3 linked regions of the Anolis sagrei genome follow. The protein of the gene in region 2 purifies or fractionates together with the protein of the main gene of each other region. This does not show direct contact. Links are inferred from orthologs where the notes say so. Each region holds a gene or a part of one and is shown on either strand. Other genes may lie near its edges. The genes, in order: NOD1, SUGT1 and RNF41.

The links.
Region 1: the proteins of SUGT1 (region 2) and NOD1 purify together in Homo sapiens (affinity purification with western blotting; 3 studies listed by BioGRID and IntAct, with this or other methods). This does not show direct contact. The link is inferred for Anolis sagrei from reciprocal best matches to the Homo sapiens genes SUGT1 and NOD1.
Region 3: the proteins of SUGT1 (region 2) and RNF41 purify together in Homo sapiens (affinity purification with mass spectrometry; 3 studies listed by BioGRID and IntAct, with this or other methods). This does not show direct contact. The link is inferred for Anolis sagrei from reciprocal best matches to the Homo sapiens genes SUGT1 and RNF41.

The regions. Positions count from the first base shown.
Region 1 is NC_090026.1:80,381,663-80,392,907, reverse strand, and holds the start of NOD1 (nucleotide-binding oligomerization domain-containing protein 1), read left to right. Parts: upstream 1-6,847; 5' UTR 6,848-7,131; intron 7,132-11,245. UniProt on the Homo sapiens protein: Pattern recognition receptor (PRR) that detects bacterial peptidoglycan fragments and other danger signals and thus participates in both innate and adaptive immune responses.
Region 2 is NC_090023.1:141,078,863-141,089,369, forward strand, and holds the start of SUGT1 (protein SGT1 homolog), read right to left. Parts: upstream 4,393-10,507; 5' UTR 4,386-4,392; coding exon 4,150-4,385; intron 4,075-4,149; coding exon 4,029-4,074; intron 1-4,028. UniProt on the Homo sapiens protein: May play a role in ubiquitination and subsequent proteasomal degradation of target proteins.
Region 3 is NC_090022.1:138,316,533-138,326,757, reverse strand, and holds the start of RNF41 (E3 ubiquitin-protein ligase NRDP1), read left to right. Parts: upstream 1-5,867; 5' UTR 5,868-6,160; intron 6,161-10,225. UniProt on the Homo sapiens protein: Acts as E3 ubiquitin-protein ligase and regulates the degradation of target proteins. Polyubiquitinates MYD88. Negatively regulates MYD88-dependent production of pro-inflammatory cytokines.

The sequences.
Region 1 (11,245 bases), on a different chromosome or scaffold from region 2:
AATATTCTGAGTTCATAAATCCATATTCATAATATCTAGGGCTTTCTTTATCCATCCATCCATAGTTGCCATTTCTTTTAATTTCCAAAAGTGGGCTATGACTTTTGTACAATTCAGATTAGAACTGGATTACTTGCAAGTCTTTTTCTTGAAGAGCTGCTGGGAGATGGGAGAGAATGCCTCTGATGGATGAGTGGGCTTATTAATAGAAGACCCACATAAAGATATAGTAGATTAACTTATTAGCAGCAGTGTGACCCAGCATCAGTAGCCAAAAGTGATAAAAAGAACAAAACCTCACAGACCAATGCTATCTCTTCCTTTGGAGGCTTTTCTTTGTAGCAAAATAATATGGTTGTACTATTTACAAGGTTTCCATAACACAAAGTTCTTTAGACTTCCTTCTTTGCTTCCATGTTGGGCTTCTTTCTCATGCAGATACACAGCTTTACTCTCACAGAGCTTCCTCTCACACCGAATTTACACAGGAGCTTTGTACTGTAGCTTTACACACAGCAGCCTTCACACTGGAGCGTCACGAGGCCTTCAACATGGGGCTTCTCTCAGCAAAGCTTCTCACACCAGGCCTTCTTACACTGAGACCTACCTCACACTGAGGCCTTCCTCATACTGAGGCCTGTTGTAGCTCAGTCAGATGAAGATGAGGGGTTTGGGGGTTCACAGCCTGATGGTTCTGTAGGTGAGCAAACAGGTTTTAGAGTAAAATGAGGGAATGGAGGGGGGTTTGGAGCAAGATGAGAGTGAAAATGGAACTGTTTTGGAATCCAACAAGCAGGGAGAGGACAACAGTAGCTCATCTGAGAGAGCAGCTGACAGAGATACCAGGCTGATCATGATAGGGCTGAGATTCAGGTGCAGGAAAATCCATGAGAAAAAGAGGCAAAAGCAGGCCTCTCAAGGTCAAAGGAATGTGTTCATGTTTTGCAGTTCTTAAATTAGTGAGATTTTTGTTAGGATTTTAGATCAAGCACCATCGCATTTTCTCCTGACGTTTCGCCTGCATCTATGGCAAGCATCCTCAGAGGTAGCGAGGTCTATTGGAACTAGGAAAATGGGTTTATATATCTGTGGAATGACTGTGCAAAAAGAATCTGCGAACCCCCACCTCCTTCAAGATGAACTGAACCACCTCAACTGGGCTCTACAGGCCAATGGATACTCCACCTCAGACATCAGAAGAGCTGCAAGACCGAGAACAAACCACGAGAGTAAAGACAACGATCCACCCAGAGGAAAAGTGCTCTTGCCATACATCAAGGGAACCACTGACCACATAGGGAAGCTGATGAGAAAACACAACATACAAACTATCTACAGACCCACCAAGAAAATCCAACAAATGCTACATTCAGCAAAGGACAAGAAGGATCCTCTCACTTCTACAGGAGTCTACCGTATACCATGCAGCTGTGGACAAGTCTACGTAGGGACCACCAAACACAACATTGACCAAACACGAATCAAGGAACATGAAAGGCACTGCAGACTAGTTCAACCAGAGAAGTCAGCCATAACAGAGCACCTGATGAACCAACCTGGACACAGCATATTATTTGAGAACACAGAAATGCTGGACCACTCCAACAACCACCATGTCAGGCTACACAGAGAAGCCATTGAAATCCACAAGCATGTGGACAATCTCAACAGAAAGGAGGAGACCATGAAAATGAACAAAATTTGGCTACCAGTATTAAAAAATTCTAAAATTACAACAGCAAAACAACAAAGGGGAAACAAGACCTGGCTGTTCGAACAAGCATTTGGTTAAACAGTGTAATTGAACATAGGAATATGGAATAATGGATGATGAGACTGGATTCTGATTTTACTGTTGAGGCGCTAATGATTGTTATACGGATGTTTAATTATTTTTGTTACAACTGTTTTTAATTGCCCTATACTTGTCTCGTGATGTTTTGTATTGATGTTGTTCACCGCTTTGAGTCGCCTGAGGGCTGAGAAAAGCGGTTTATCAATAAAGTAAATAAATAAATAAATAAATAAATCAGGCACATCTAATCACCTCTCAACAAAAGATTGCCCCAGGCACTGCCAGGCCATCAAATGCTAATCAAGGTGGTCAGTTGAAACATTCACACCTAGCTCCAACACACAAGAGTTCTTTGTCCCACCCTGGTCATTCCACAGATATATAAACCCCTTTTCCTAGTTCCAACAGACCTCACTACCTCTGAGGATGCTTGCCATAGATGCAGGTGAAACATCAGGAGAGAATGCCTCTAGACCATGGCCATATAGCCCGAAAAAACCTACAACAACCCACCAACAATAATATGTTCCATGTTCCAAAGTAGACAAACCAGACATTCTCTACATTAACACTGACAAAGAAAGAAGTACTGTTTACCCTCAAGCATAAAGAAATTACATATATTAGAAATCAACACTTTCTCATCGCTTTATTTTCAAGATCACAAGACTGGGCCACAGCAACACGTGGCAGGTGATGGCTAGTCTATATATATAAATTTGTTAGGGGCATCCAACGAGGAAACAAAACTCAAAACCCCGCCAACGAAACTTAACCAAAATTCCCATGCCCACAACACAACCCATAAGGTACAAACATATCTACTCAAAATGAAAAACAACACAACAACACACTCACAAAACGGCAAAACAACAAAACTCAAAGATCCCCCAACGAAACTTAACCAAAATCCCTGTGCCCATAACACAACCCACAAAGTACAAACATATCTACTCAAAATGAAAAACAACACAACAACACACTCACAAAACGGCAAAACAACAAAACTCAAAAATCCCCCAACGAAACTTAACTAAAATCCCCGTGCCCATAACACAACCCACAAGGTACAAACATATCTACTCAAAATGAAAAACAACACAACAACACACTCACAAAACGGCAAAAGAACAAAACTCAAAAATCCCCCAACGAAACTTAACCAAAATCCCCGTGCCCATAACACAACCCACAAGGTACAAACATACCTACTCAAAATGAAAAACAACACAACAACACACTCACAAAACAGCAAAACAACAAAACTCAAAAATCCCCCAACGAAACTTAACTAAAATCCCCGTGCCCATAACATAACCCACAAGGTATAAACATACCTACTCAAAATGAAAAACAACCCCACGCTCCATCACTCCCCCCACCGCCTCACACACACACACAACCCCAGGCTCCATCACTCCCCCCGCCGCCGCACACACATACGCAACCCCACGCTCCATCACTCCCCTGCCCCAATCTTACCTCCTTTTACTTCAGGCCACCTCCAAACCCCACCCCGCCCCTTCCCGCCCTGTCAAAATCTAGGAAAGACAGGAAGGAAGGAAAGAAGGAAGAAAGAGAAAGGGAGGTAAAGAAAAAGAAATATATAAATTTGTTAGGGGCATCCAACGAGGAAACAAAACTCAAAAACCCCCCAACGAAACTTAACCAAAATTCCCATGCCCACAACACAACCCATAAGGTACAAACATATCTACTCAAAATGAAAAACAACACAACAACACACTCACAAAACGGCAAAACAACAAAACTCAAAGATCCCCCAACGAAACTTAACCAAAATCCCTGTGCCCATAACACAACCCACAAAGTACAAACATATCTACTCAAAATGAAAAACAACACAACAACACACTCACAAAACGGCAAAACAACAAAACTCAAAAATCCCCCAACGAAACTTAACTAAAATCCCCGTGCCCATAACACAACCCACAAGGTACAAACATATCTACTCAAAATGAAAAACAACACAACAACACACTCACAAAACGGCAAAAGAACAAAACTCAAAAATCCCCCAACGAAACTTAACCAAAATCCCCGTGCCCATAACACAACCCACAAGGTACAAACATACCTACTCAAAATGAAAAACAACACAACAACACACTCACAAAACGGCAAAACAACAAAACTCAAAAATCCCCCAACGAAACTTAACTAAAATCCCCGTGCCCATAACATAACCCACAAGGTATAAACATACCTACTCAAAATGAAAAACAACACAGCAACACACTCACAAAATGGCAAAACAACAAAACTCAAAAATCCCCCAACGAAACTTAACCAAAATCCCCGTACCCATAACACAACCCACAAGGTATAAACATATCTACTCAAAATGAAAAACAACACAACAACACACTCACAAAACGGCAAAACAACAAAACTCAAAAATCCCCCAACGAAACTTAACTAAAATCCCCGTGCCCATAACACAACCCACAAGGTACAAACATATCTACTCAAAATGAAAAACAACACAACAACACACTCACAAAACGGCAAAACAAAAAAACTCAAAAATCCCCCAACGAAACTTAACCAAAATCCCCATGCCCATAACACAACCCACAAGGTACAAACATACCTACTCAAAATGAAAAACAACACAACAACACACTCACAAAACGGCAAAACAACAAAACTCAAAAATCCCCCAACGAAACTTAACCAAAATCCCCGTGCCCATAACACAACCCACAAGGTACAAACATATCTACTCAAAATGAAAAACAACACAACAACACACTCACAAAACGGCAAAAGAACAAAACTCAAAAATCCCCCAACGAAACTTAACCAAAATCCCTGTGCCCATAACACAACCCACAAAGTACAAACATATCTACTCAAAATGAAAAACAACACAACAACACACTCACAAAACGGCAAAACAACAAAACTCAAAAATCCCCCAACGAAACTTAACTAAAATCCCCGTGCCCATAACACAACCCACAAGGTACAAACATATCTACTCAAAATGAAAAACAACACAACAACACACTCACAAAACGGCAAAAGAACAAAACTCAAAAATCCCCCAACGAAACTTAACCAAAATCCCCGTGCCCATAACACAACCCACAAGGTACAAACATACCTACTCAAAATGAAAAACAACACAACAACACACTCACAAAACGGCAAAACAACAAAACTCAAAAATCCCCCAACGAAACTTAACTAAAATCCCCGTGCCCATAACATAACCCACAAGGTATAAACATACCTACTCAAAATGAAAAACAACACAGCAACACACTCACAAAACGGCAAAACAACAAAACTCAAAAATCCCCCAACGAAACTTAACCAAAATCCCCGTACCCATAACACAACCCACAAGGTATAAACATATCTACTCAAAATGAAAAACAACACAACAACACACTCACAAAACGGCAAAACAACAAAACTCAAAAATCCCCCAACGAAACTTAACTAAAATCCCCGTGCCCATAACACAACCCACAAGGTACAAACATATCTACTCAAAATGAAAAACAACACAACAACACACTCACAAAACGGCAAAACAAAAAAACTCAAAAATCCCCCAACGAAACTTAACCAAAATCCCCATGCCCATAACACAACCCACAAGGTACAAACATACCTACTCAAAATGAAAAACAACACAACAACACACTCACAAAACGGCAAAACAACAAAACTCAAAAATCCCCCAACGAAACTTAACCAAAATCCCCGTGCCCATAACACAACCCACAAGGTACAAACATATCTACTCAAAATGAAAAACAACACAACAACACACTCACAAAACGGCAAAAGAACAAAACTCAAAAATCCCCCAACGAAACTTAACCAAAATTTCCGTGCCCATAACACAACCCACAAGGTACAAACATATCTACTCAAAATGAAAAACAACACAACACACTCACAAAACGGCAAAACAACTGAGCATGCGCATTGGTGCCCAGCCGCAAGTTCCATCGCGCGCGCACATGGCCTTCCGGCCAACGTTCCCTCTGCGGAAACCATGCCCACTCCAAGCTCCGCCGTGCCGCTTCCCGCACACACACACCCCCTGCCGCACACACACACGCAACCCCACGCTCCATCACTCCCCCCGCCGCCGCACACACGCACGCAACCCCACGCTCCATCACTCCCCCCACCGCCTCACACACACACACAACCCCAGGCTCCATCACTCCCCCCGCCGCCGCACACACATACGCAACCCCACGCTCCATCACTCCCCTGCCCCAATCTTACCTCCTTTTACTTCAGGCCACCTCCAAACCCCACCCCGCCCCTTCCCGCCCTGTCAAAATCTAGGAAAGACAGGAAGGAAGGAAAGAAGGAAGAAAGAGAAAGGGAGGTAAAGAAAAAGGGGGAAGGGAGGTAAAGAAAAAGGGGGAAGGAAGGAAAGTTAGAGGAAGAAGAAAAGGAAAGAAAAGGAAAGATGGAAGGAAAGAAAAGAGAGACAGCAGAAGAGAAAGAAAAAGGGGGAAGGAAGGAAAGAGATAGAGAAAGAAGAGGAGAAGGAAAGATGGGAAGGAAGGAAGGAGGGAGGGAGGGAGGGAGGGAAAGAAGGAGAGAAAGAGGGAAGATTGGCCACAGCAACACGTGGCGGGTAAAGGTTGTTATTTCTATTATTATGATGATGATGCTATTGTTCCTCTGAGACCCTTTTAGGGGGAATGGGAGAGGTGTCAGGTCCCAGAGGGAATGCATTGCATTATTGTTATTGTTATAATGGTGGTGAAATAAAAGGAAATAAAAAGAGAAAGAAGGAAGCAAACAGGGAGGGAAGAAAGGCAAAGGAAGAAAGGGGGAGGGAATGAAGGAAAGAGAGAAGGATGAAACCAAGTAGTGAAAGAAGGAAAGAAAGAAAGACGGAGAGAAGGAAGAAAGTAGAGAAAGGGGGAGGAAAAGGGGGAAGGAATAGGTAGGGACCTCTCTTTCATAATAGTCCAGATATCTACCTCAACTTTGATAAGTTTTACTATAGGCCACAGCAACGCGTGGCAGGGCACAGCTAGTGTAATAATAAATGCCTTTCAGGGCGCCTTTTGCAGGAGAGCGTTCTCTGCCTAGGCCACTTCCTGCGGCCGCCCTGCAGGGGGCGCTGCGAACTACACCACGCTTCCCATTGGAAAGGCAGCCAGGCGGGCAGGAGGGAGTCCTGGAGCTCTGTGCTCGGGCTCTGGGGGCGGCGGCTCCGGGAGATGCGATCCGGGGCGGGGAGTAAAAGCAGAAGCAGCCCCGCTTTCTCTTCGTGCCCCTTCGGCCCCTTTCGCTTTTCCTTTCTCCTCTTCTGGATCCTTCTGGTAAGTGGGACCGCGATCTTGGGGGGCTGGAAGGGGAGGCGACCCTGCAGCAGAGCCTTACTGGAATCCCAACTTTGTCGGCTTCGTGGGTGCCAAAAAAAGTAACTTTTATTCCAAGCCCAATCCCCGGAGGCAGCAGGAGAGAAGAAAGATTCAGGGAAACTCGGAGGAAAAGTTGCTTTTGACCGCCGAAGGGGTAAGAGTGCATCTACATTGGAGAACTACCGCAGTTTGATACCACTGCCATTTCTCAATACAGTGGAACCCTAAGAGTCGTCGTTTGGTGATGTTTGCACTCTTTAACAGAGAAAGGTCAAGAGCTTGCAAGACGACAACCCCCAGCATTGAGCCCTTGCAGTTAATAGGTGTCAAACCGAGTTAATTCTGCAGTGTAGATGCTCCCCTCGTTCATTAGCCAGAGCTTGAGGAATGCAAAGAAATGATTTGTGTGTGTGTTAAGGGCCTCATCACACTAGAGAAAAAAATCCACTTAAAATCTGGTTTCTACCTCATGCAGTATTCTGGGGTTTGTAGATTAGGGAGGAGCCTTTACGAACCTCACTAAACTACAAATCCTAGAATTCTGCAGGAGGCAGAAATCGGATTTTAAGTGGATTTTTTTTCTCTCTAGTGTGATGGGCAAACTTGGTGTTTTGCTCTACTAGTGTAATAATAAATGCCTTTCAAGGCACCTTTTGCAGGAGAGCGTTCTCTGTGTTGAAGGCTTTCATGGCCGGAATGACTGGGTTGTTGTAGGTTTTCCAGGCTGTATGGCCATGTTCCAGAAGCATTCTCTCCAGACGTTTCACCCACATCTATGGCAGGCATCCTCAGAGGTTGTGAGATCTGTTGGAAACTCGGCAAGTGAGATTTATATAGCTATGTGATGTCCAGGGTGGGAGAAAGTACTCTTATCTGTTTGAGGTGATATTCCTGCCGGGGGAATCCTTTGTTAGTTCGCCCTGATTGTTTCCTGTCTGGAATGCCCCTATTTTTGAATGTTTCACTTTGTTTACTGCCCAGATTTTAGAGGTTTTTTTAATACTGGTAGCCAGATTTTAGTCATTTTCATGGTTTTGTTCATTTTCGTGGTTCAACAGAAAGAAGAAAATGATGAAAATGAACAAAATCTGGCTACCAGTGTTTAAAACCTCTAAAATCAGGGCAGTAAAGAAAGAGCTACACTCAAAAACAGGGGGATTCTAGACAGGAAACAATCCGGGCCAGCTAACACCTCCCAACAAAGAATTCCCCCCAGGCAGGAAGCAGCCAGGCTTTGATCATTCAGTGCTAATCAAGATGGCCAACTGCAACATTCACACTTTCCTCAAGCAGGCAAGAGTTCTTTCTCCCAACCTGGAAATTCCACAGAATTGGCCCTAGAAATCTGTACGTGACCATATGAATTAAAACAACATAATTAAAAATCGGTTTGGATTAGGATTCTGGATTATGTGATTTAATGTTATATTAAGAGGTTGGGAGCCCCCAGTGGTGCAGCAGGTTAAACTGCTGAGCTGCTGAATGTGCTGATCGAAAGGTTGGTGGCTCAAATTCAGTAAGCGGGGTGAGCTCCCGCTGTTGGCCCCAGCTTCTGCCATCCTAGCAGTTCAAAAACATGCAAATGTGAGTAGATCAATAGGTACCACTCTGGCGGGACTCCATACAGTCATGCCGGCCACACGACCTTGGAGGCGTCTATGGACAACGGCAGCTCTTCAGCTTAGAAATGGAGATGAGCACCAAGCCCCAGAGTTGGACTTGACTAGACTTAATGTCAAGGGGAAACCTTTACCCCTTTAAGAGGTTTTTAATTCTATGTTTTAATGGCCTATTTGTTTATGTTCTATGTTTAATATTATTTTAATGGTTTAATTTATAGTAATATGTTTGGGTTATTTTAGTTATTATGCTTTAGGTTTGTATATATGTTGGCATTGAATCTTGCTATTACTTGATGTACACCACTTTGAGTCCCCCCAGGGGTGAGAAAAACGGTATATAAATATAGTAAATAAATAAATATTTAATAAGCCTTGGCACTATAAGAGGGTATCATGAGACCAGTCGCTCTCGTTGCAATGGTAGTAATGGTGAGGCTGCGGACCATATTTGTCATGAATGACTTTTCAATAACTTTAAAGCATAGGTTCTTTTTATTGCAATTTCCAGTGTGAGAGGGTATATCAGATTACAGAAAACATTTAGATAAAGAATGACATTGGACCTACAGACATACAGATTCTAAGCAACTACATTGGATTTACAATTACACTGGTTAACAAACAAACAAAGGGGAATTACATTTTCACTCAACATTCATACCACATATACACGCAATGATCCTCAGGCATTCAAATGTTACCATATCATTTTCTCCCTCCTTGGAGAAGCACGTGTTAGGCCAGACCCTGCTTTCCTGCAGCCTGCCAATGCATAGTTCCAAAACTTCCGTAACGCCATAACTTCAAAACACCAAAATGCATCCTTTCCCTAAGAACAATGCCAGGGACCAGATCTCTGTTTTCCATACAGCAGAACCTGACTCCCTGCACAAAATCTAAGACTCCAAAAGCGCACTTCTTCCTCTTCCCTTGAGAAAGAAGCCCCAAAGTGACCAGACTGCTCCCGTGCAGATCTGCCACTCTTCATAGGTACACTATCTCTCTCCTTCCCATGGAGCAGAGCATAGTGGGTGAACCAGACTCCTCAGGTCGGTCACATTTTGAGCATTATTAGACTGAGTCTTTACAACTTTGGGACTACATCAGCAGAATATTCCTATAAAATATAGGAATATTCTGCTGATGTAGTCCCAAAGTTGTAAATTAATGATAGACATCTTCCATCTTGGCTCCATCTCAGTTTCCTGGCCAGATGTTGACTCTTCTTGATTGGTGTTGACAAACACAAGGCCTGTGTTGACTTCCTTCTTAACATAAGGAAGGTTGCAAACATTTCCTTTATCACTGTCCCATTCTTATCAGAGATTACTTTTCAGATCTCATTAGCAGGTTTTATCCACATAGTTAGCCAAAATTATTAACTCCATCCATACAACTTTCATTCTTCCATTCATTGCCACACCTCATTATATCAAATCCACATTTCTCAAATCCACAATAATATTTTCGTGATATATTTTAGTTCTCGTGGACCACTGTTGGTCTTAAAAAATAGTTTTCTAAGATCTACAGAGACACTCGCTGGAACACCTCAGCAAGCGAGAGTCCAAAAGTGGCAAGCTCAAACTCAGAACCTCAACCAATGGCTGATACCAAATGAGAGACTCCCCCCTGGACACACAGAGGACTGGGCGACTTGAAAGACGCTGAACGGACTGCGCTCTGGCACCACAAGATGCAGAGCCAACCTTCAGAAATGGGGCTACAGGGTGGAATCCTCGACATGCGAGCGTGGAGAGGAGCAAACCACTGACCACCTGCTGCAATGCAACCTGAGCCCTGCCACATGCACAATGGAGGACCTCCTTGCAGCAACACCAGAAGCACTCCAAGTGGCCAGATACTGGTCAAAGGACATTTAATCAACTACCAAACTCACAAATTTTGTATTCTGTCTGTTTGTTTGCTTTGTTCTGTTAGAAATGTAATGTAATTGACTGGTTGCCCTGACACGATAAATAAATAAATAAATACATAAATACTGTTGGTCCACGGACCACAGGTTGGGAACCGCTTATCTACATGATGGCAACAACTAACAATGCATCAGCATTGAAAGGATTCAACGTTAAGGTGTAGGTGAATCCTATGCAGAGGTCTTTTTTGAATTTTGATACCTCATACTTTTTCATATGAACTCAAGGAGGCTAATAGCATTAAAACACCCTATTGAAATGGCAGATCACAAATGCCTAAAACAATAAATGACTACTACATCTTAAAAAGTAATAAAGGCAGTATAAAACAAGCAGCAGTAAAAGAAATCTAATTAAAAAGCTGCATAGTTGTGTTGTTGCTTGTTTAACAGTGAGTCAGTTATATTAATAACAAATATTCTCTAAAATGTGCACAAATAGATATATTTTTCATTTGGCGTTTGACTGACAAGAGAGGGGAAACTAGACTCTTTTGGAAGGGAGTCCCAAGTA
Region 2 (10,507 bases):
ACTACATCAGACTGGATCTCAAAGAAACCACATCTTCTATCAACGCCATAAATTTTCTTTCAGCCCAAGATGAAGATTAGGGCTGTGTATAGGCAGCTACATTAAATTATGTCTCTGATACTATTTAGTCTTCTCATACTCATAATACCAATGATTGTATTAAGGTGTTCACATTTTTCAAGTGTACACTGTGAAAAACAAACTGAGTGGGAAATGCAGCACTTCGATGTGTTAACATTTAGGATGGAGGAGAGAGAAGAAAGAAGAGGCACCTGGCAGCACCTCTTTCACTAACGAATTTTTAATTTTGCATGCACTTTCAAAGATATAAGTCTCGCCTATAAAGCATACCTATACAGTGGTGGGATTCTAATAGAATATTATAGGACACAGAAAAATGCAACTCAAGTCCTATGTCATAAATGTTCAAAGAGATGTGTTTCTGAGAATTAGCCTGAAACAAAATAAATTAAGGAAACTGGCATTTATATCTTCAGGAAAATTCCTGAAGCCCACACTGTATTCGCAGTCCCTATAGAGCCCTACCATTATATTGTTTCAAAGTCCTTTTTGACCACCAAATAGCACATCATCCCCAGGGCCGTTCCACACAGCCCTGTATTCCAGAATATCAAGGCAAAAAATCCCCCATTATCTGCTTTGAACTGGGTTATCTAAGCCCACACTCAGATAAGGTGGGATTTTCTACCTTGATGTTCTGTGATATAGAGCTGTGTGAAAGGGCCCACAGGCATTTTAGGTCCAGTATTTTTTTCTTTAAAAAATGAAGTAGATCCCGGTTCTCTTCTAGGCTAGTTCCACTACTTGCTATTGCAGTAGTCTCACGTATCCAACATAAACGGGCTGGCAGAACATTAGATAAGCGAAAATGTTAGATAATAAGGAGGGATTAAGGAAAACCCTGTTAAATGTAAAATTAAATTATGATTTTACAAATTAAGCACCAAAACATCATATTTTACCACAAATCAACAGAAAAAGTGGTTCAGTACATGGCAAGGTTATGTAGTACTTGCTGTATTTACAAATTTAGAATCAAAACATCAAAACGTATGGAAACAGCTGCCTCGATGAGAGGCAGACTGCATTGGATACTACAAACGTTGGATAAGCAAGACTCTACTGTAATCGCTTTACCACTTAAAAGAGGATTCCTCCCAAAAAGAATGTCTCCAGATGAAATGCAATCCATAACGGCCCAAATTGTACAGATAGATGTACAAGAAATGCATGATTTGTATAAGAAGTGTAATTCTAGGCAAAGTATATACTGCTGGTTATTGTTAACTGCTGACAAGTTGACCCTGTAACTGAGAGACCTCCAAGTCATTCTAACGTGGAACCCTAGGGTTTGATGAAACACAGTTTGGGAACCTCTGCTCTACAATGTTAAAGAACTTTCTTAAAACCTTAACTTAACCACCTGCTTCGCCATATGCTTGGGTGCACAGAAACATTTTAACTGCTTTTTGAAGGGGGCAACGAGAGGGCCATTTTGATTTCCTTCAGAAGGGAATTCCAGAAGTAGGGGGCAAATGCAGAGAAAGCCCTCTCTCTTGTACCCAACAGCCGGATTTGAGGCAGGAGCGCCTCCCCTGATCGCAGTGTCTGGACAGGTTTGTATAAAGAGAGGTGGTTGGCCAAACACTCTGGACCCAAATAATTTAGGGCTTTAAAAGTAACAACCAGTATTTTAAATTTCACCCAGTAGCAAACTGGGAGCCAGTGGAGCTGCTGCAGCAAGCAAGTTGTTTGCTCCCTGTACAGTGCTCCGGTTAGTAACCTAGCAGCCGACCTTTGCAGCAGCTGAAGCTTCTGAGCACTCTTCAAAGGCAGCCCCACATAAAGCGCGTTGCAGTAGTTCAGTCAAGATGTAGCTAGGGAATACACTACCATGGCCAAATCTGGCGTCTCAAGGTACGTGCGCAGCTGGCACACAAGTTTTAATTGTGCAAAGGTGCTCCTGGCCACTGATGACACCTGGGGCACCCCCACGCTGTGTACCTTGCCTCAAGGGGGAGTGTAACCCCATCCAGCACAGGCTGTATCCCTATACCCTGAGCTGCCTTGCAACTGACCAAAAGCACCTCTGTCTTGTCAGGATTTAATTCTAATCTATTCACCCTCATCCAGTCTATTACAGTATATAGGTACCAGTTCAGGATGAGAACAGGATTCTTGGCTGGTTTTAAACAATATCTATATATAAATGTTGTTTTTAAAGGACTAAATAGTCTTGTAAACTGGTTATTTATTTATGTTTACATTATTATGCTATTTTGTTTTTAATAAGTGATATGTGATGATATGTGATTATTGCCTATGTTATATCATTGACTGTATTTGTTTGTTCTTACTGTAAGTCGCCTTAAGTCTCTTCGGCACAAGGGGGCAGGATATAAAAATATTATTTTGGTGGAAAGGGGTAATGAAGTTGGGTATCATCTGCATTAACTCCAAAACTCTGGATGATCTCTCCCAGTGATTTCATGTAGATATTAAATAGCATGGGTGACAGAATACCTGAAAGCAATGGATTCAAATAATCAGAAAGAAAATTCCAAGGAAACATTGGGGACCCTTCTACACAGCCATATAACCCAGAATATCAAGGCAGAAAATCCCACAATAGCTGCTTTGAATTGGGTTATCTAAGTCCACACTGCCATATATTCCAGCCCAAAGCAGGTATTTTGGGATTTCCTGCCTTGATATTCTGCATTACATGGCTGTGTAGATGGGCCCTGAGTCCACACTGTCATATATTTCAGTTCAATGCTGGTGTGGGATTTTATACAGCTGTGTGGAGGGGAATAAAAATGCGGATAGTGGGAATTGTTTTGACTATGGAATATGCTGCCGCCTCCAAGACAGTAGTCTCCTTCCTTGGAGGCTTTGAAGCACAGGCTGGGTGGCCATCTATTTATTTATTTACGACATTTATATGCCGCCCTTCTCACCCTGAAGGGGACTCAGAGTGGCTTACTATATACATACATTATATTATTACCATAGTACAATATCAGTGTTATATATTACTATATTACACTTACCCTATAATCCTTACATATCACCTGTCACATCAGCACTTGGTGTATTGTTTATTGCTTGTTGTTTAATTTTGCTTTAACTGCTTTAATTTTTTAAATTGCTTTAGGTTGTGTATTGTTATGTTGTGTTTGAGGCCTTGGCCTTTGTAAGCCGCATCGGGTCCTTCGGGAGATGCTAGCGGGGTACAAATAAAGGTAATAATAATAATAATAATATATTGATGTATTTTGTTATTGTGTGTTTATTATGCTGTATTATTTTGGGCTTGGCCTCATGTTAGCCGCCCCGAGTACCCTTTGGAGAGATGGTGGCGGGTTATGAATAAAGTGTATTATTATTATTATTATTATTACATTGTACTATACCATTATATTGTAATATTATTTGTAATATTACATGCAATAGAAAATATATAATTATAATATATTATTATTAGTATTATACTGTATTACATTATAATATTATAAATATTATATGTATATACAATATTCATCTATCATGGATGGTTTGTACTTTTCCTGTATGGCAGGGGGTTTGGTCTGGATGGCCCTTGGGGTCTCTTCCAACTTTATGATTCTACACACTATGGACCCTTCCACAGAGTCCTATATCCCAAAATATCAAGGCAAAAAATCCCACAATATCTGCTTTGAACTGGGTTAACAGAATCCACACTGCCATATATTCCAGTTCAAAGGAGATAATGTGGGGTTTTCTGCCTTGACATTCTGGGATATGGGGCTGTGTGGAAGGGCCCTCCAATATAGGAACAGCTATCCCACATCTGGTGAACTGAGCTTTTGTTCAGGAAATGTCAGGCCGTGAGGGAAGCGGGAAGTCGCCACTGTACTACATGATTCTGTTTCGGGAGAGATATAGTTTTGGCCAGCTGAGAGGGAAAACAAACCAAAAAGCAGGGAGACCCGTGTGGCAAGAATGGAAGCTCCCCTTCCTACCTGCACGGCGCCCGCGGGGTCTTTCTCGACGTCGCACTCCGTCAGCCTGCGGAGAAAAGCGAGAGTTAGGCCCGAACGCGGAGGAGGAGCGGGGTGAAGGGGTGGGGGGTTGAGGGCTCACCACGAGACTCCCATTCCTGCCGCCTCCGCCATCATGGCCCCGCCGAGGAAACTTCTAGAGCGCGAAGATTTTGTTTCTTTCCGCTGTCGCGCGCGCCCTGTGACGTTGGAAAAGGCGGTGCCGGCGCGGCCTTTATACGTCAGCAAGAGTCCTCTCGCGGAGGGCGGCGGAGGAGTCAACATTCGATGGGGGGCGGAGCCTCCACGGCAGAGGGCCCGCCTCCCGGCGTCAATCATCTTCCAAAACAAGAGGGAAGTTCAATGTACTGTATTGTCGAAGGCTTTCATGGCTGGAATCACTAGGTTCTTGTGGGTTTCTTCGGGCTATAGGGCCATGTTCTAGAGGCATTTCTCCTGACGTTTCGCCTGCATCTATGGCAAGCATCCTCAGAGGCAGTGAGGTCTGTTGGAATTAGGACAATGGGTTTATATATCTGTGGAATGGCTGGGGTGGGGCACAGAGCTCTCTGCTAACAGGTTGCTAACAGGTTGCTAACAGGAGCGGCACTCAGGGAGCATACTACTCTCTTGCACCAGCTCCACTGGCTGCCAGTTTGCAACCGGGCACAATTCAAAGTGCTGGCGTTAGCCTATAAAGCCCTAAACGGTTCTGGCACTACTTACCTCTCCAAACGCATCTCCTCCTATGAACCAACTAAGACATTAAGATCATCTGGGAGTATTTCCAGGTGGAATGCTCTAAGGATCAGAAGGTAGAACTGTTGCTTTCTTTTTCTGACTCTATAGTGGATTTTCCAGTGCAGGAAAATAAAGATGAAACAGGAGTGAAGTAATGAGGAAAAAGTACAAACAGAGGGGTGTATCTTCTGAAATCCCCTTAAATTTCTATGAACGACACATCGTAATCGTGAAACCATTAATAATCCATCAAAGGAAGGCAATACAGAATAGCTGAAGAAATGTTCAAAAGTTGTTGACACTACACAGTTAATAGCACTGTGATTTTATTTGAACAACCATGTTTCCCTCCTATGGATTTATGGGATTTGTAGTGTACAGGAGGGCATTTTCAATTCTCACCAGAATGCTCCAGACTTCAAAGCCCATGATTCCATAGGATGTTACCATGACAATTAAGGTGGAATATAGAACTTGCACTGCATAGTATGAATTAGGCCCTAAATGTTGCCTCCAGCCTGTGGAGATCTTAACAGTGGGTTTATGGTGAGATTAGGTGAGCCCCCACCTTAGAGAGTTTTAAGAAAAATCTCAAAACCTGGCTCTTCCACTGTGATTTTGGAGATTAACCATTAACTCATATGCCCATTAACCCTCAATATCCATTTTTAGTGCATATGAAGGTCCTTTTCGACCCCATCTTGGAAGAGTTCCTCCCTCATAAAAATAATCCACTCCACTGCTGTCTCACCTCCTGTTTTTTATCCTTAATATTTTATTCAGGACATGCGGCCCACTCATTGTTTTATGAATGATTTTATTGTAATTTTATATAGTTATGTTTTATGTTAATCATTGTGTTCTTGTTTATGTTTTTGATTTCATTTATTTTATTGCATTGGTGGGCTTGGCCTCATGTAAGCTGCCCCGAGTCCCCATTGGAGAGATGGTGGCAGGGAATAAATAAAGTTTATTATCATGATTTATTATTGCTATTTCAATTGTTGTGTGTGATAGAAGTAACTATTTCCATTTTCAGTTCGTTTCAAAATGTTAAAGGAGCAGCAAAGAAAACTTGTTGCTCTATCTTGGCACTGATTTAGGGAAATCCTAAATTAGGGACAGGACAACGATTATGTTGTCCAGTTACAATTATGCTGTATTTTCTCCATTGGCGGCTATCACATACACTGAAGACAGAACAAAGGTCTTCGGTGAGGAGAGTCCAGGTCTCTTGAGTTGTGCTACAAATGTCAACAAAATAAAGAGGTGTGCTCTGTTTCTCCATTTTCTGTAAGTATAGAAAGCAAGATGTCACATTCCTCAAGACCACTTCCTCTCTTCTGTAAAACTTGCTCACACGCAATCTGATAAAAGGCAGGTGCTGAAGTTCGTTCATACATGTGATAGCGGGAAGGATCCACAGGGCCAGTGTGAAAGAGAAGAATTACAGTTATGCTGTTGTCTGTAACTAGTTTCCTTGTAGGTAATGGGTGTAAACAAGACACATTTCGCAAGTAATCTAACTTACATGAACCAAGTAGTCCCTATATAAGAATCAAGTTCCCTTTCCGGTTGAATGAGTAACAATTTCTACTTAATTTCAAGTGTTACTTGTAAAGGGCTATTTTAGGCATTTCTCAGGAATCTTTCCAGCGTTACCCCATTCTCTTATCAATTCTAAGTGTTTCCCCTGAAAAACGGCACACGTTAAAGTAGTAATGGGTAGGAATACAAACTAACATCCTCATCATCCATCTCCTACACTAGTTGTTTTCATCATTAAAACAAGTTTTTGCCACATGTTACCTTTAAAACACAGTAAGACAAGATAAAGATTTCCCCTGACATGTCTAGTCATGTCTGACTCTGGGGAGTGGAGCTCATCTCCATTTCTAAGCCAAAGAGCGGGCATTGTCTGCAGACATCTCCAAGGTCATGTGGCCAGCATGACTGCATGGAGTGCCATTACTTTCCTGCAGAAGCGGTACCTATTGATCTACTCACATTTGCATGTTTTCGAACTACTAGTTTGGCAGAAGCTGGGGCTGATAGCAGAAGCTCACCCCATTCCCCGGATTTGAATCGCCAACTTTTCCGTCAGCAAGTTCAGCAGCTCAGCGGTTTAACTCGCTGCGTCACCAGGGGGCCCGAGAGTAAGACATAATTATTATTTTTAAAATGCTTCTAAAGCTTTACGCAGAACAACTAAAAGCAGAGATTGTGTCTAGCTGTGCTGCCAATCCTGGATTCTCAACTGTAGTTGTGAATCTTGGTTTTGGCTGATAAAATTCAGATTAAAGGTCAATAGACTTTCATTTTTTAAAAATCTATATCAAGAATTAAGTGCAAGAGAAAAGGGTTCTAATCTAGTTTTCTATCCATAGTGCTTGTTTTTTTGTTTTTGTTTTCTACATGCAGGCAATTTCCTTCATACTGCATGCAAGGACATTCAGTCATGAGGGGCATCGATAGCATAGAAGAATACAGATCAGCTACAGCTTGCTTACTTTGTGAGAACCAGATCTCAGTACTTTTCCTATACAAACATCAAGCTTTTCAGTGATGTAAATTGTTTTGATTAAATTTATTTATGTGGTCATGAACATTTATTTATGTGGTCATGAACAATATTAATTATGGGAGGAAATATTCTCTCATTTACAGTTTTATTGAAACTCTGTGTATGCATCTGTATACATGTTTTTTATCATTTCAGAAGTAAATTGAGAATATATTGCAAGTCACTTCTGGTGTGAGAGAATCGGCTGCCTACAGAGATGTTGCCCACGGGACACCCGGATATGTTACCATCCTGTGGGAGGCTTCTCTCATGTCCCCACATGAGAAGCTGGGGCTGACAGACAGGAGCTCACCCCATCTCACTGATTCAAACCACTGACCTTCAGGTCAGCAGTTCAGCCGGCACAAAGATTTAATCCATTGCGCCACTACGGCTCCTTATACACATATATAAGAATGGCCATACAGATGCTGTTGGGAATACAACTCCCAGACCTAGCCAGTATAGACATGGGTGAGGAATTATGGGAATTGCAGCAGAACAGCACCTGCAGGGCCACATGATTCCTTCCCCAGATGTTTATGCCCATCACAGACAACTTATCAAAACTTTTCATACCTGTTTATCAACCCAAACTCAGAACTTACCAATAGAGAAATTCAAATATTCAGCTTAGACTCACAAAAGTGTGAATGCTCAAATGATAGCAACCAGTTACACACACCAAAAACAGCACATAATTCATTGTAAAGGGTAGGGCTTTACATGCAGTTGAACATGTTCATTATTATTGCTACAGCTTATAAGACGTTCATATTAAAATTGATTGTCTTATGATTTTCTTTCTTCCCTGTGGAAATGAATCAATTCAGACAATGGTATACTGTTATTAGACCAAGTAGTGAGATTTATAAATGCATCACACTGTACAAACTGACACATCGCCATTGAAATGGGATTTTTCTTATCAAATTATTGTTGCACAGGCATCTTGCCAAAGCCATGATAAGCAGAAGGAAATTCACCATATCCAGTCTGCAAAAAGAATCCTGTTTCTCTTCTAATGAGCAACTAACATTTTAATTCAATTTGTGTTAAAAAAATATTACATGCACAGTTTAACTTGTAAGCAAAATTATACTCAGCTTCACAATTCATTGAGAGGAATGTTCCACAAATAATCAAAGGGTGCCAACCTGAGAAAACATGCGTAGCCCTGATCATTTTTATTTTACTTCTGGGCCACTTGCCACAAATAATTTGTGTAAAAGCTAGAAGCATATTAAAGCAAATCCCAGCAGCATCATTTTCACTTAGTGCACATGGTTGAAGAATGCAGACATGAAAAAAATAGCTAGTTGCTGACTTCAGCCCCAGCAAATATAGCTGCCTAAGAGACTGTAAAATATCTGTGTTCTTGCTCAGCACTGTCAAAACCAATGATAAAACATAAAGTGAAACAATTTATCCACAGTTGACATCTTATTTGTATATTTAAAAACCACTAATGCTAATTGGAATTCTCATGCCACATGAAAATGTCACAACAGTGGTACTCAAGAGCAAATAAACATCAAAACAAAACCACCCTTTCTATTACTTCTCTATGATAAGGTGCTTAAGAGCTGTAAAAGATCCCAACAGCTATCCAGTCAATTCCCTGCCATGTCGGAAAGGCACAATCAAAGCATCCCCCGACAGATGGCCACCCAGCCACTGTTTAAAAGTTTCCAAAGAAGGAAAATCCACTGAACTCTGAGGCAAAAGTTCCACTTTTGAACAGCTCTCATGGTCAGGAAGTGCAGTGAGATATCCCTGTGAAATTGCAGGCGCAATATTTTGGACAAAAAGAATATACACAACGAGAGCTTAAGACAACTAGATACCAGGAGAAATACACACAATGAGGAGAAAGGGAATACAAATCACAGAAGGACTTTATTGTAAATTTCTCAAAGTGCCTTTAGACTCTCGAAGAAACATTTTATTTAAATACACCCTCCTTTCCATGATTAAATTTTCTATTGTGGGGCTGTCCAGATATTGTTAAATATATGTTTAGATTTTAATTCAAGGTGGAAGTATTATATCTTCTGTCATCATTTCCTTGTTGTGGATTTAATGATTGAATCACTGCTCCTAAAATGCTTAATGCTCGACAATGTTCTTACCATCCCCTGCTTGTCCTTCAGTCTTGTTGATAAGCACAGTGTTTGAGCTTTTGATATGGAACATGAAGTTAGTTATGTACTATACACTCCTACTTCTGTGCAGTTCCATCAATTATACTGGGATGATAGAGGGCTTAAACCTGTTCCTACTTCTGACATTTTTGAGAATCCTGCCAGCGCCCTATGCCAGCATAACCACCCCAGAGCAAGCAGTGACAATAGAGGAAAAAGCCACGGCTGCAGCAGCCATGAAAGAAGTAAAATACTGGAGAAAAAGGCTACTCAGAGTCAGCCGTTCACTGCCATAGCTGTACAGCCCTGGAACAAGTGAAACCACTGGGGCAGCGTAACTACAAACTACCTGTAACCTGGTGTGTCTAAATCAGTGTTTCTCAACCTGGGGGTCGGGACCCATGGGGAGGGTCGCAAGAAGGTGTCAGAAGGGTCACCGAAGACCATCAGAAAACACAGTATTTTCTATTGGTCATGGCCATTTTGTGTGGGAAGTTTGGCCAATTCTGTCCTTGGTGGGGTTCAGAATGTTCTTTGATTGTAGATGAACTATAAATCCCAACAACTACAATTCCCAAATGTCAAGGTCTATTTTCCCCAAACTCCACTAGTGTTCACATTTGGGCATTTTGAGTATTCGTGCCAAGTTTGGTCCGGATCCATCATAGTTTGAATCCACAGTGTTCTCTGGATGTAGATGAACTACAATTCTAAAACTAAAGGTCAGTGCCCACCAAACCCTTCCTGTATTTTCTGTTGGTCATGGGAGTTCTGTGTGTCAAGTTTGGTTCAATTCCATAGTTGGTGGAAGTCAGAATACTCTTTGATTGTAGGTGAACTATTAATCCCAGAAACTACAACTCGCAAATTATAAAATCAACCCCCCCCCCCCCCCAAACTCCACCAGTATTCAGATTTGGGTGTGTTGGGTATTTGTGCCAAATTTCATCCAGTGAATGAAAATACATCCTGCATATCAGATATTTACATTACGATTCATAAAAGTAGCAAAA
Region 3 (10,225 bases), on a different chromosome or scaffold from region 2:
GTTCACAGGCCACCTCTTTACTAGAATGTTTAAGAAGCCACACACACTCTTCAGGTGAAATAAAACAAGAATGTTTATTTTGTTCTTGAACAGTACAGATGCGTAATGGTTTCAATAAACTGACCGGCTTTACATGTACGGAGAATGGTTCTGTTACTTGAATTCCTTAAACACACAGGAATACAAACAGGTTGTTTTGAACCTTTTGAATCCTCATTCCACACCAGCACTCTAATACTATGTTGTTGTTGTTCATTCGTTCAGTCGTCTCCGACTCTTCGTGACCTCATGGACCAGCCCACGCCAGAGCTCCCTGTCGGCTGTCACCACCCCCAGCTCCTTCAAGGTCAGTCCAGTCACTTCAAGGATGCCATCCATCCATCTTGCCCTTGGTCGGCCCCTCTTCCTTTTGCCTTCCACTTTCCCCAGCATAATTGTCTTCTCTAGGCTTTCCTGTCTCCTCATGATGTGGCCAAAGTACTTCAACTTTGTCTCTAGTATCTTTCCCTCCAGTGAGCAGTCGGGCTTTATTTCCTGGAGGATGGACTGGTTGGATCTTCTCGCAGTCCAAGGCACTCTCAGTACTTTCCTCCAACACCACAGCTCAAAAGCATCTATCTTCCTTCGCTCAGCCTTCCCGAAGGTCCAGCTCTCACATCCGTAGGTGACTACAGGGAATACCATGGCTTTGATTAGGCGGATCTTTGTTGCCAGTCTGATGTCTCTACTCTTTACTATATTATCGAGACTGGACATTGCTCTCCTCCCAAGAAGTAAGCGTCTTCTGATTTCCTGGCCACAGTCTGCATCTGCAGTAATCTTTGCACCTAGAAATACAAAGTCTGTCACGGCCTCCACGGTTTCTCCCTCTATTTTCCAGTTGTCAATCATTCTTGTTGCCATAATCTTGGTTTTTTTGACGTTTAGCTGCAACCCGGCTTTTGCGCTTTCTTCTTTCACCTTTATTAGAAGGCTCCTCAGCTCCTCCTCGCTTTCGGCCATCAGAGTGGTGTCATCTGCATATCTGAGGTTATTAATGTTTCTTCCAGCAATTTTCACCCCAGCCTTGCATTCATCCAGCCCCGCACATCGCATGATGTGTTCTGCATACAAGTTAAAAAGGTTGGGTGAGAGTATGCAGCCTTGCCGTACGCCTTTCCCAATCTTGAACCAGTCTGTTGTTCCGTGGTCAGTTCTGACTGTTGCTACTTGGTCCTTGTACAGATTCCTCAGGAGAGAGACAAGGTGGCTTGGGATGCCCATCCCACTAAGAACTTGCCACAATTTATTATGATCCACACAGTCAAAGGCTTTAGAATAGTCAATGAAGCAGAAGTAGATGTTTTTCTGAAACTCCCTGCCTTTCTCCATTATCCAGAGGATATTGGCAATCTGGTCTCTCGTTCCTCTACCTTTTCTAAACCCAGCTTGAACATCTGGCAACTCTCGCTCCATGTATTGCTGGAGTCTTCCTTGCAGGATCTAATACTATACTTGCAGGATCTAATACTTGCAGGATCTAATACTATAGAGGCCTACTATATTTCTTCTCCTTCTCCCTGAAGGCTTTAACTATTTTTCCTCAAAGAGGTATCTTTCTAACAAACAGTTCCCAAAACTTTTCCTTCCTTCCCCTTCAAATCTCCTAACCTAACCTTTAAACACCAAACTCCCAACTGACTAAACTATGGCTGCCTTAGCTCCTCCCTTTCCCTATGACTCCACCCATCTCCAGTTGCTAAGCAACTGCCTCCAATTTCACCAGCCAATCAGACCGCACTTCCAGCTATGAGGCTGACTGATCACTCCACCCCCCTACTCTCCTTAGCTTTTCCAAGCCAGGTCTATTTACTGCCTTTACACCAACCCTACAAGGTAGACTAATCCGTTACAGCCTGATATGAGAATTAATAAATAGTTCAAAGGCACTAGATCCCATCTCATCTTGGAAGCTCAGCAGGACAAGCACTTGGGTGAGAAGTGTTTTAGGCTGTATTTTAGGCCGCCCTGAGTCCCTCCTCGGGGGTGAGAAGGGCAGGGTACAAATGTATGAAATTTAGAGGAAGGAATTCAAAAACCCACCTCTAAGGGTACCTGGTCTTTAAAAAGCGCTATGAAATTAAGGTGAAATAAAACAAGAATATGTTTATATTTGTTATAAATCGATAGGCAACTTGAGGACACATCACACATGAAGGTGAATGACACAGAACTTTGAAGGAGGGGACTGTTAAGAAGTTGTATTTTGGAAGTAACTTCAAACTCATTATACAAATAAATAAATTATTGCTACCTTAGGTCCCTTCCACACTGCCCCTATATCGCAGGATCTGATCCCAGATTATTTGTTCATCTCAGGGCCCTTCCAGACAGGCCCTATAACCCAGGATCTGATCCCAGGTTTTCTGCTTTAAACTGGATTATATGAGTCCACACTGCCAGATAATCCAGTTTAAAGCGGATAATCTGGGATCAGATCCCGGGTTATAGGGCCTGTCTGGAAGGGCCCCCAGATGATAGGGAAATGGAGACTCATATAATCCACTTTAGAGCGGATAATCTGGGATCAGATCCTGGGATACAGGGCAGTGTAGAAGGGGCATTACTCTCATGGCACCCTTTTCTCCACAAAGAGATTCTTCACTGCTTTTAACTTATCACCCTCAAGCTCTGAATATCATAGACTCAACCATTTCAATCAAGGTCCTTGATTTATTCCCGCTTGTGGTACAGAGTTGACAGAATGCAAATCTGCAGGTTTTACTTTGTGGTTTCCTTTTCTTTTTTCTACTAGAACCTCAAGCGCCACCAACCAGTCAGATGGTGACTCTGATAGACAGAGAGATGCTAAGGAACAGAGCACCTCTGGGCATGTTCTCTGCCCAGGAATTTGTGGTCAATACCTGAACTGAGGCTGGATCGACACTGCAGTTTGAACTGCATTACAATGGTCAGTTCAGAAACTCATATAATGTAGTACAGTGCATTATTTGGCAGTGCTGATCCAGCCTCAGTTCATAAGATGTTTCAAATAACCACCCCAATTCCACACCTTCCAGCATAATTTTTCTGCAACCTAGGTGGTGACCAACTTTACAGGGAGTCTAATGTGTCCAGTGATAAACAAGTAAATGCCAATCTACTTTTTTTTTTTACTGTTTCTGCATAGGTTATATCAGGCCCCATTCTACACTGCCATATAATCAATTTTATGAAAACAGATAATCTGGATTTTATATGGCAGTGTAGAAGAGGCCTGTGTTAATTATACTCCCTCAGTCTCAGGCCCCTTCTACACTGCCACATAATCCAGATTATCAAAGCAGATAGTCCACATTATCTGCTTTGAACTGGGGTCCTTTCCACGCAGCTGAATAAAATCTCACATTATCTGCTTTGAACTGGGATATATGGCATGTGGACTCAGATATTCCAGTTCAAAGCAGATATTGAGTCCCGGCCCTGAGTTACTGCCCCCCCCCCCCCCAGTAGAGAAAGGCGGGGTATAAATAAGGTAAATAAATATTCCGCCTTGATATTCTGAGTTATATGGCTGTGTGGAAAGGCCCTGGATTATATAGTGTACACCAACATATGATCCAGTTCAAAGCAGATTTTATATGGCAGTGTAGAAGGGGCCTCAGAGAAAGGCCATGGCCAACCCCTTCTGAACACATTTTGAGAAGAAAAAGGGATAGGGACTCCATCCTCAACTTGAAGTAACATGAGAACAGGGGGGGAAAGTAGGATGAAGAGCATTTTCTTTACAGAAGGAAGGAATGAAGGAAGTTGCAGAGAATCTTCTTAACTTGCAACAGATGTTATATAAGAGGCAGAAAAACCTGTTTATTCTCTTTTCAAAAAGAACATTGATCATATCTGATTATTCAGGCCTCAAAAAGTACTGCTGTCAAGTTAAATGTTATTTTTGGCTTTGTTCTGCCTTTGGTTATACCTTTGTGCACACTTATGCAAAGGGAGAAAAAAGTGGAAGGGAAATGACATCAGGCGAACTATTTGACTCCAGAAGCAGAAGACAACTCCCCACTCATGCCTAATATAAAATCCCTGAGTAAGGATGCATCTACACTGTCAACATTGGTGATCACTCGTGTCCGAGTGGGATGGCCTTCCAAGCACAGTGTCTTGGTGGTGGGTCTGTAGGTGACTCTGGAGCCCACTTCTTGATCCGCATGTTCTTCTGCAGTGAGGACATTGGTTTCCAGATGGAAGAAGGTCCTGGTCAGGGTTGGCTTGATACACCTTCCTCTTGATGCATTTCTCACTTTCGCCCTCCGTTTGTGCCGCTTCCAATTCCACAGCACTTTGGTCACAGCTGACCTCCAGTTAGGGCGCTCACGGACTAGAGCTTCCCAGTTCTCAGTGTCTATGCCAGTTTTTAAGATTGGCTTTAAGCCCATCTTTAAATCTCTTTTCTTGTCCACCAACATCCCATTTTCCGTTCTTGATCTGAGAACAGAGTAACTGCTTTGGGAGATGGTAATCAGGCATTTAGACAACGTGGCCAGTCCACTGGAGTTGATGTCGTAGGAGCATCGCTTCAATGCTGGTGGTCTTTGCTTATTCTAGGACACTGACATTTGTCTGCCTGTCTTCTCAAGAGATTTGCAGGATTTTCCGGAGGTAGCGCTGATGGAATCGTTCTAGGAGTTGCATGTGACGTCTGTTGAGTGTCCACATTTTGTAGGCATATAACAGAGTTGGGAGAACAATGGCTTTATAAACAAGCTCCTTGGTCTCCCTATAGATGTCCTGATCCACAAACACTCTCTGTTTCATTTGGAAAAATGCTGCACTCGCAGAGCTCAGGTGGTGTTACATTACAGTGTCAATGTTTGACTTTTGTGGAGAGATGGTTACCAAGGTAGTGGAAATGGTCAACATTTTCTAATGTTACATCATTAAGTTGTATTTCCAGCATTGCAGAGAGACTGGCTGGTGCCTGCTGAAAGAGCACTTTTGTTTTCTAAATGTGGAAAAAACCATGCTTTCGTATGCTTCTGCAAATGTGTTTCAAGTAACTTGTAGGCCTTCTTCTGAATGAGCACAGACTCCATTATCATCAGCATATTGCAGTTCTATAACAGATGTTGTCACCTTGGTTTGGCTTTCAGTCTGCTGAAGCTAAATAACAGAATGAGTTAAATGTACACTGTAGAACAGGTATGGGCAAACTTCGGCTTTCCAGGTGTTTTGGACGTCAACTCCAACAATTCCTAACAACCAGTAGACTGTTAGGAATTGGAGTTGAAATCCAAAACAACTGGAAGACCAAAGTTTGCCCATGCCTTCTGTAGAATGGGTGTAGTTTGACACCACTTTAACTGCATTGGCTCCATGTTATGGAATCCTGGGAGTTGTAGTTTGGTCAGGCACATTTTTGGCAGGGAAGGGTACAGAACTTCTTAAATTGCAACTCCCATTTTTCCATGGCATTCAGCCAGGGCACTTAGGACAGCAAAAAAGGTTTTCCCCTGACATTAAGTCCAGTCGTGTCCGACTCTGGGGTGTGGTGCTCATCTCCATTTCGAAGCCGAAGAGGCGGCGTTGTCCGTAGACACCTCCAAGGTCATGTGGCCGGCATGACTGCATGGAGCGCCGTTACCTTCCCGCCAGAGAGGTACCTATTGATCTACTCACATTTGCATGTTTTGAAACGGCTAGGTTGGCAGAAGCTGGGGCTAACAGCGGGAGCTCATGCCGCTCCCTGGATTCGAACCTACGACCTTTCGGTAAGTAAGTTCAACAACTCAGTGGTTTAACCCATTGGGTGCCTCCGGCGTGCAGCTGTACAAACAAGCCCCTCCCACTCCGGCACGCCCACCCCTCAAAGCCCCTCCCACTCGGCCGCCGCGTGCCTCTCCGCCTGGCTCGTCGGGCAGCGGGCGATACATAGAGTGGGCGGGGGTGAGCGAGTCGCGTCTTTCTCCAGGTGGCTAGAGTGGTCCGCCTCGCGCGCCCTCCTTCAGTCTTCCCCATCCCCGCCTCTGTGAGGGCACAGAGACAGAGAGAGAGAGAGACGGGCATCCGGGTTGGAGCTGGCGTGTTTCCGGTGGTGGCTGTGAGGGAGAAAGAAAGGGGTGGGGGAGCGAGCGGCGGAGCGGCGGATTCCCCCACCCGCAGCCGGGCCCCGCGGGAGGTAGGCCGGAGCCGAGGCGGGGCGGGGGCCTGCCGCGGGGAGCGGGAGAGCGGGGAAAGGCCACGGGGCGGGGGGTGGTTTGGAGGCACAGCGCCTGAGGGCCGCCGCCGGTCGCGCCTTAGACGCCCTTGTTGCCAGGGAGGCCCGCTGGGCAATCGGGGCTGTTCGACGCCCCCTGTGCGGCCATGGCTCCTGGGATGTGTAGTGTGGTGAGGCACCGGCCTCCTTGGGCAGCAAAGGCTCAAGGCCTGGCCGAATAGCAGCTCCCAGGCTTCCACAGCAATTGAGGCATGGCAATTAAAGTGAGATCAAACTGCATCAATTCTGCAGTGTAGACGCGCCCACAGTGGGGCTTCCTCTTCCAAGGCTTGACAAGCACTTCCAGGCAGTTCTGGCCTCCGCAGTGTATGAGAAACTACCATGAGCAGAAGGTATGTCTAAGGCAGGCATAGGCAAACTTGGCCCCTCCAGGTGTTTTGGACTTCCGGCTGTTAGGAATTGTGGGAGTTGGCGCCCAAAACACCTGGAGGGCCCAAGTTTGCCTATGCCTGGTCTAAATAGAAACAGTGAGGACATGTTTGTTGAAAAACGGCAAACTGACCATGAATGTGAGGAATATCTAAGGGGAAACTCAATGGGAATAATAATAATAATAAGAAGCATTATTTTTATTACTTGGGTTGTTGTAGTTTTTTTTTTTTCGGGCTATATGGCCATGTTATAGAGGCATTCTCTCCTGACGTTTTGCCTGCATCTGTGGCAAGCATCAAGGTAGTGAGGTGACTAGGTGAGGTCACTACCTCTGAGGATGCTTGCCATAGATGCAGGCGAAACGTCAGGAGAGAATGCCTCTATAACATGGCCATATAGCCCGAAAAAACCTACAACAACCCAGTGATTCTGGCCATGAAAACCTTTGACAATACATTTTTATTTTTTACTAGCTGTCCCCTGCCACGCATTGCTGTGGCCCAGTCTGTTGATCTGGACAATAAAGTAATGAGAAAGTGTTGGTTTCTATTATATGTAATTTCTTTATGCTTGTGGGTAAAGAGTATTTCTTGCTTTTTCTTTGTCAGTGTTTATGTGGAGAGTGTCTGGTTTGCCTCCATGCAACATATCATTGTCCTTCTTTAAGGGTCTCTTTCAAATCTATGATACTATATCTCTCTCTGTGTGAATCATATCTATCTATATCTATCTATGGCTGGATGGCTCCTTGTCAGGAGGACTTTGATTACGTTTTCTTGCCCTGATGAAGGTAGTTGTATTGCATGACCTTAAGTATTTTCTGTTGGTCATGGGGGTTCTGTGTGTGAAGTTTGCCCCCGATTCTGTCCTTTGTGGGGTTCAGGATGCTCTTTGATTGTAGGTGAACTGTAAATCCCAGTGACTACAACTCCCAAATGTCAAGGTCTATTCCCCCAAACTCCCATCTGTGTTCATATTTGGGCATATTGAGTGCTTGTGCCAAGTTTGGTCCAGATCCATCATTGTTTGAGTCCACAGTGCTCTCTGGATATAGGTGAACTACAACTCCCAAATTCAAGGTCCATGCTCACCAAACACTTCTAGTATTTTCTGTTGGTCATGGGAGTTCTGTGTGCCAAGTTTGGTTCAATTCCATCGTTAATGGAGTTCAGAATGCTCTTTGATTGTAAGTGAAATATAAATCCCAGCAACTACAACTCCCAAATGACAAAATCATAATTTTTTGAGTGATGGTCACTCCTTGTGTTGTGAGACGTTTTGTTGCCAAATTTGGTGTGATTTTGTTCATTGGTTCTTTTGTTTTTAAGGTAATCATTATGCACAAAGCATTTATATATATATAGATTTGCTTTGAAGTCCAAAACACCTGGAGGGCCCAAGTTTTGCCCATGCCTAGTCTAAAGAGAAACTGTTTGTTGAAAAACGGCAAACTGACCACGAATATGAGGAATATCTAAGAGGAAATCCAATAATAATAATAATAATAAGCATCATTTATCTTTATTTATTTCAAGTATTTATACCCCTGTCCTTCTCACCCCTGGAGGGAGACTCAGGGCGGCTTATAACAGCCAACCATTAGATGCCAAACAAATACATTAAAATACACAGTTACAATGAAAACAGCAATTAAAAACAATTATAAACATTCAATTTAAAACAGTCCGCCAGTTCAGAATCATAGTCCAAGGTCAGTCTATTGCCGGTCACGTCAAACATTCTCTTCCTAGTTGCTACATTTACTGCTCAAATGCTTGAACCCACAGCCAGGTTTTAATATTATTATTTTTTACAAAAGGCCAAGACAGAGGGCACAGACCTAATTTCATTGGGGAGGGAGTTCCACAGCCAAGGATCCACCACGGAGAAAGTCCTGTCTCCCATACCCACCAGTCTCACCTATGAAGGTTGTAGGACCGAGAGCAGGGCCTCCCCAGATGATCTTAATGTTCTATCCTGCCCCCTCTCCCCAAAGGGACTGGACAACTTACAGAAAAACAAACGAATGCATTATATAATGAATAATAATAATAAGCTTTATTTATATTCCGCCCCTCTTCCTAAAGGACCTCAGCAACTTACAGACAGTGATCAAATATCAATTAATAAAACAAAATAGCACAATAGTGTAAACATAAATAACAGTTTTAAAAACTGTTTAACCCTCTAAAAACAGTATATATAGAAATGGTGTTTAACACCAGCCAATAAGTGTGTTGAAAGATAGTTCCGGTTTATTGGCTCTTTGAGCAACAAGGATGGAGACTGGATGATGTCATTGTATTGCCAGAAACTTTAGCACGATTTACCAATAATGTAAATGTACCAGACCTTTTGGGAAACCTTTAATGATACAGTGCACACAAACACACACACACACACACCCTTTATCCACAGCGGAAACTCCCAGACTTTGCATGGATATGCAGAGTCATGGATAATAGCACCCAATTGAAATGAAGGACTAAATTATTCCTCAGGAAGACCATAAAGCCATGCTGGAGGATCTAGAACAGGCATGGACAAACTTTTTCCTTCCAGGTGTTTTGGACTCCGACTCCCACTATTCCTAACAGCCGGTAGGTTTGCCCATGCCTGATCCAGAAGATGCCTAGAGAAAGACACAAGGGATTTTTTAGGAGGTGGATCATTAAAACAAAGGATTCCAGTTCCCCGGATACTGTACTGCTGACTAGCTGGGCATCTGAAAAATATTTTTGCAACATTTATGTGCCAATAATTTCATTTATATAGGTTCAGTACACTTTATCTGAAATACTTAGGATCAGAAATGATTTGGATTTAAAAATTTGAATACCTATTTACAAATGTGTTTACAATAAGATATCTTGCAGATAGGGTGCGTGTCTAAATATAAAATTTATTTGCATTTTCTTTGCACTGTACTGTATATATAAGATGTTTTAAAATGATGGACCCAGTTTCAAAGCAGTATATTTCTTGCTTCAACATGTTACAATTACACAAAAGGTTACAAACAATTTAATGAGTTATAATGTTTTACTAACCACTTTGAGACCGAAACAAATCTAAAAAAAGAACTCCACACATGGAGGCTCTCTTATTAGGCCTTACGTTGCATGACTTGTGAATGACTGAGGCCAGAGGCTGTTTGTGCACTGGGAGAAGCAGCTGTAATCATTGGAAACCATGCCCCGCTCTTTCAAATTGTAAGAGTTGAATTGATGAGAGGTTAATTGTTGCAGAGATATAGCAATTTCAAATTGGGTCCAACTTTTGAAACACCCTGTACATAGGCTGAATGGATTATTATTATTATTTACACCCTGCGTTATCTCCGCAAAGGAGATAAACATTTTTATTAATAATTTTGTGCTTTAAATTGAGTTTGTATACATTGAACCCTCAGAAAACAAGGGTGTCACTATCACAGCCCCCTCTGTGGTCAATTTTGAATTTTGCATTTCTAGATATGAGATGCTGTATACACTCGTGTTGTCATAGTTGATATTTTCTAATGAAAATAAAACTGTTTTAAAATTTGATGGAGGGAAATTTACCAGGAAAGTTTGGAAACTGGCCTTAACAATC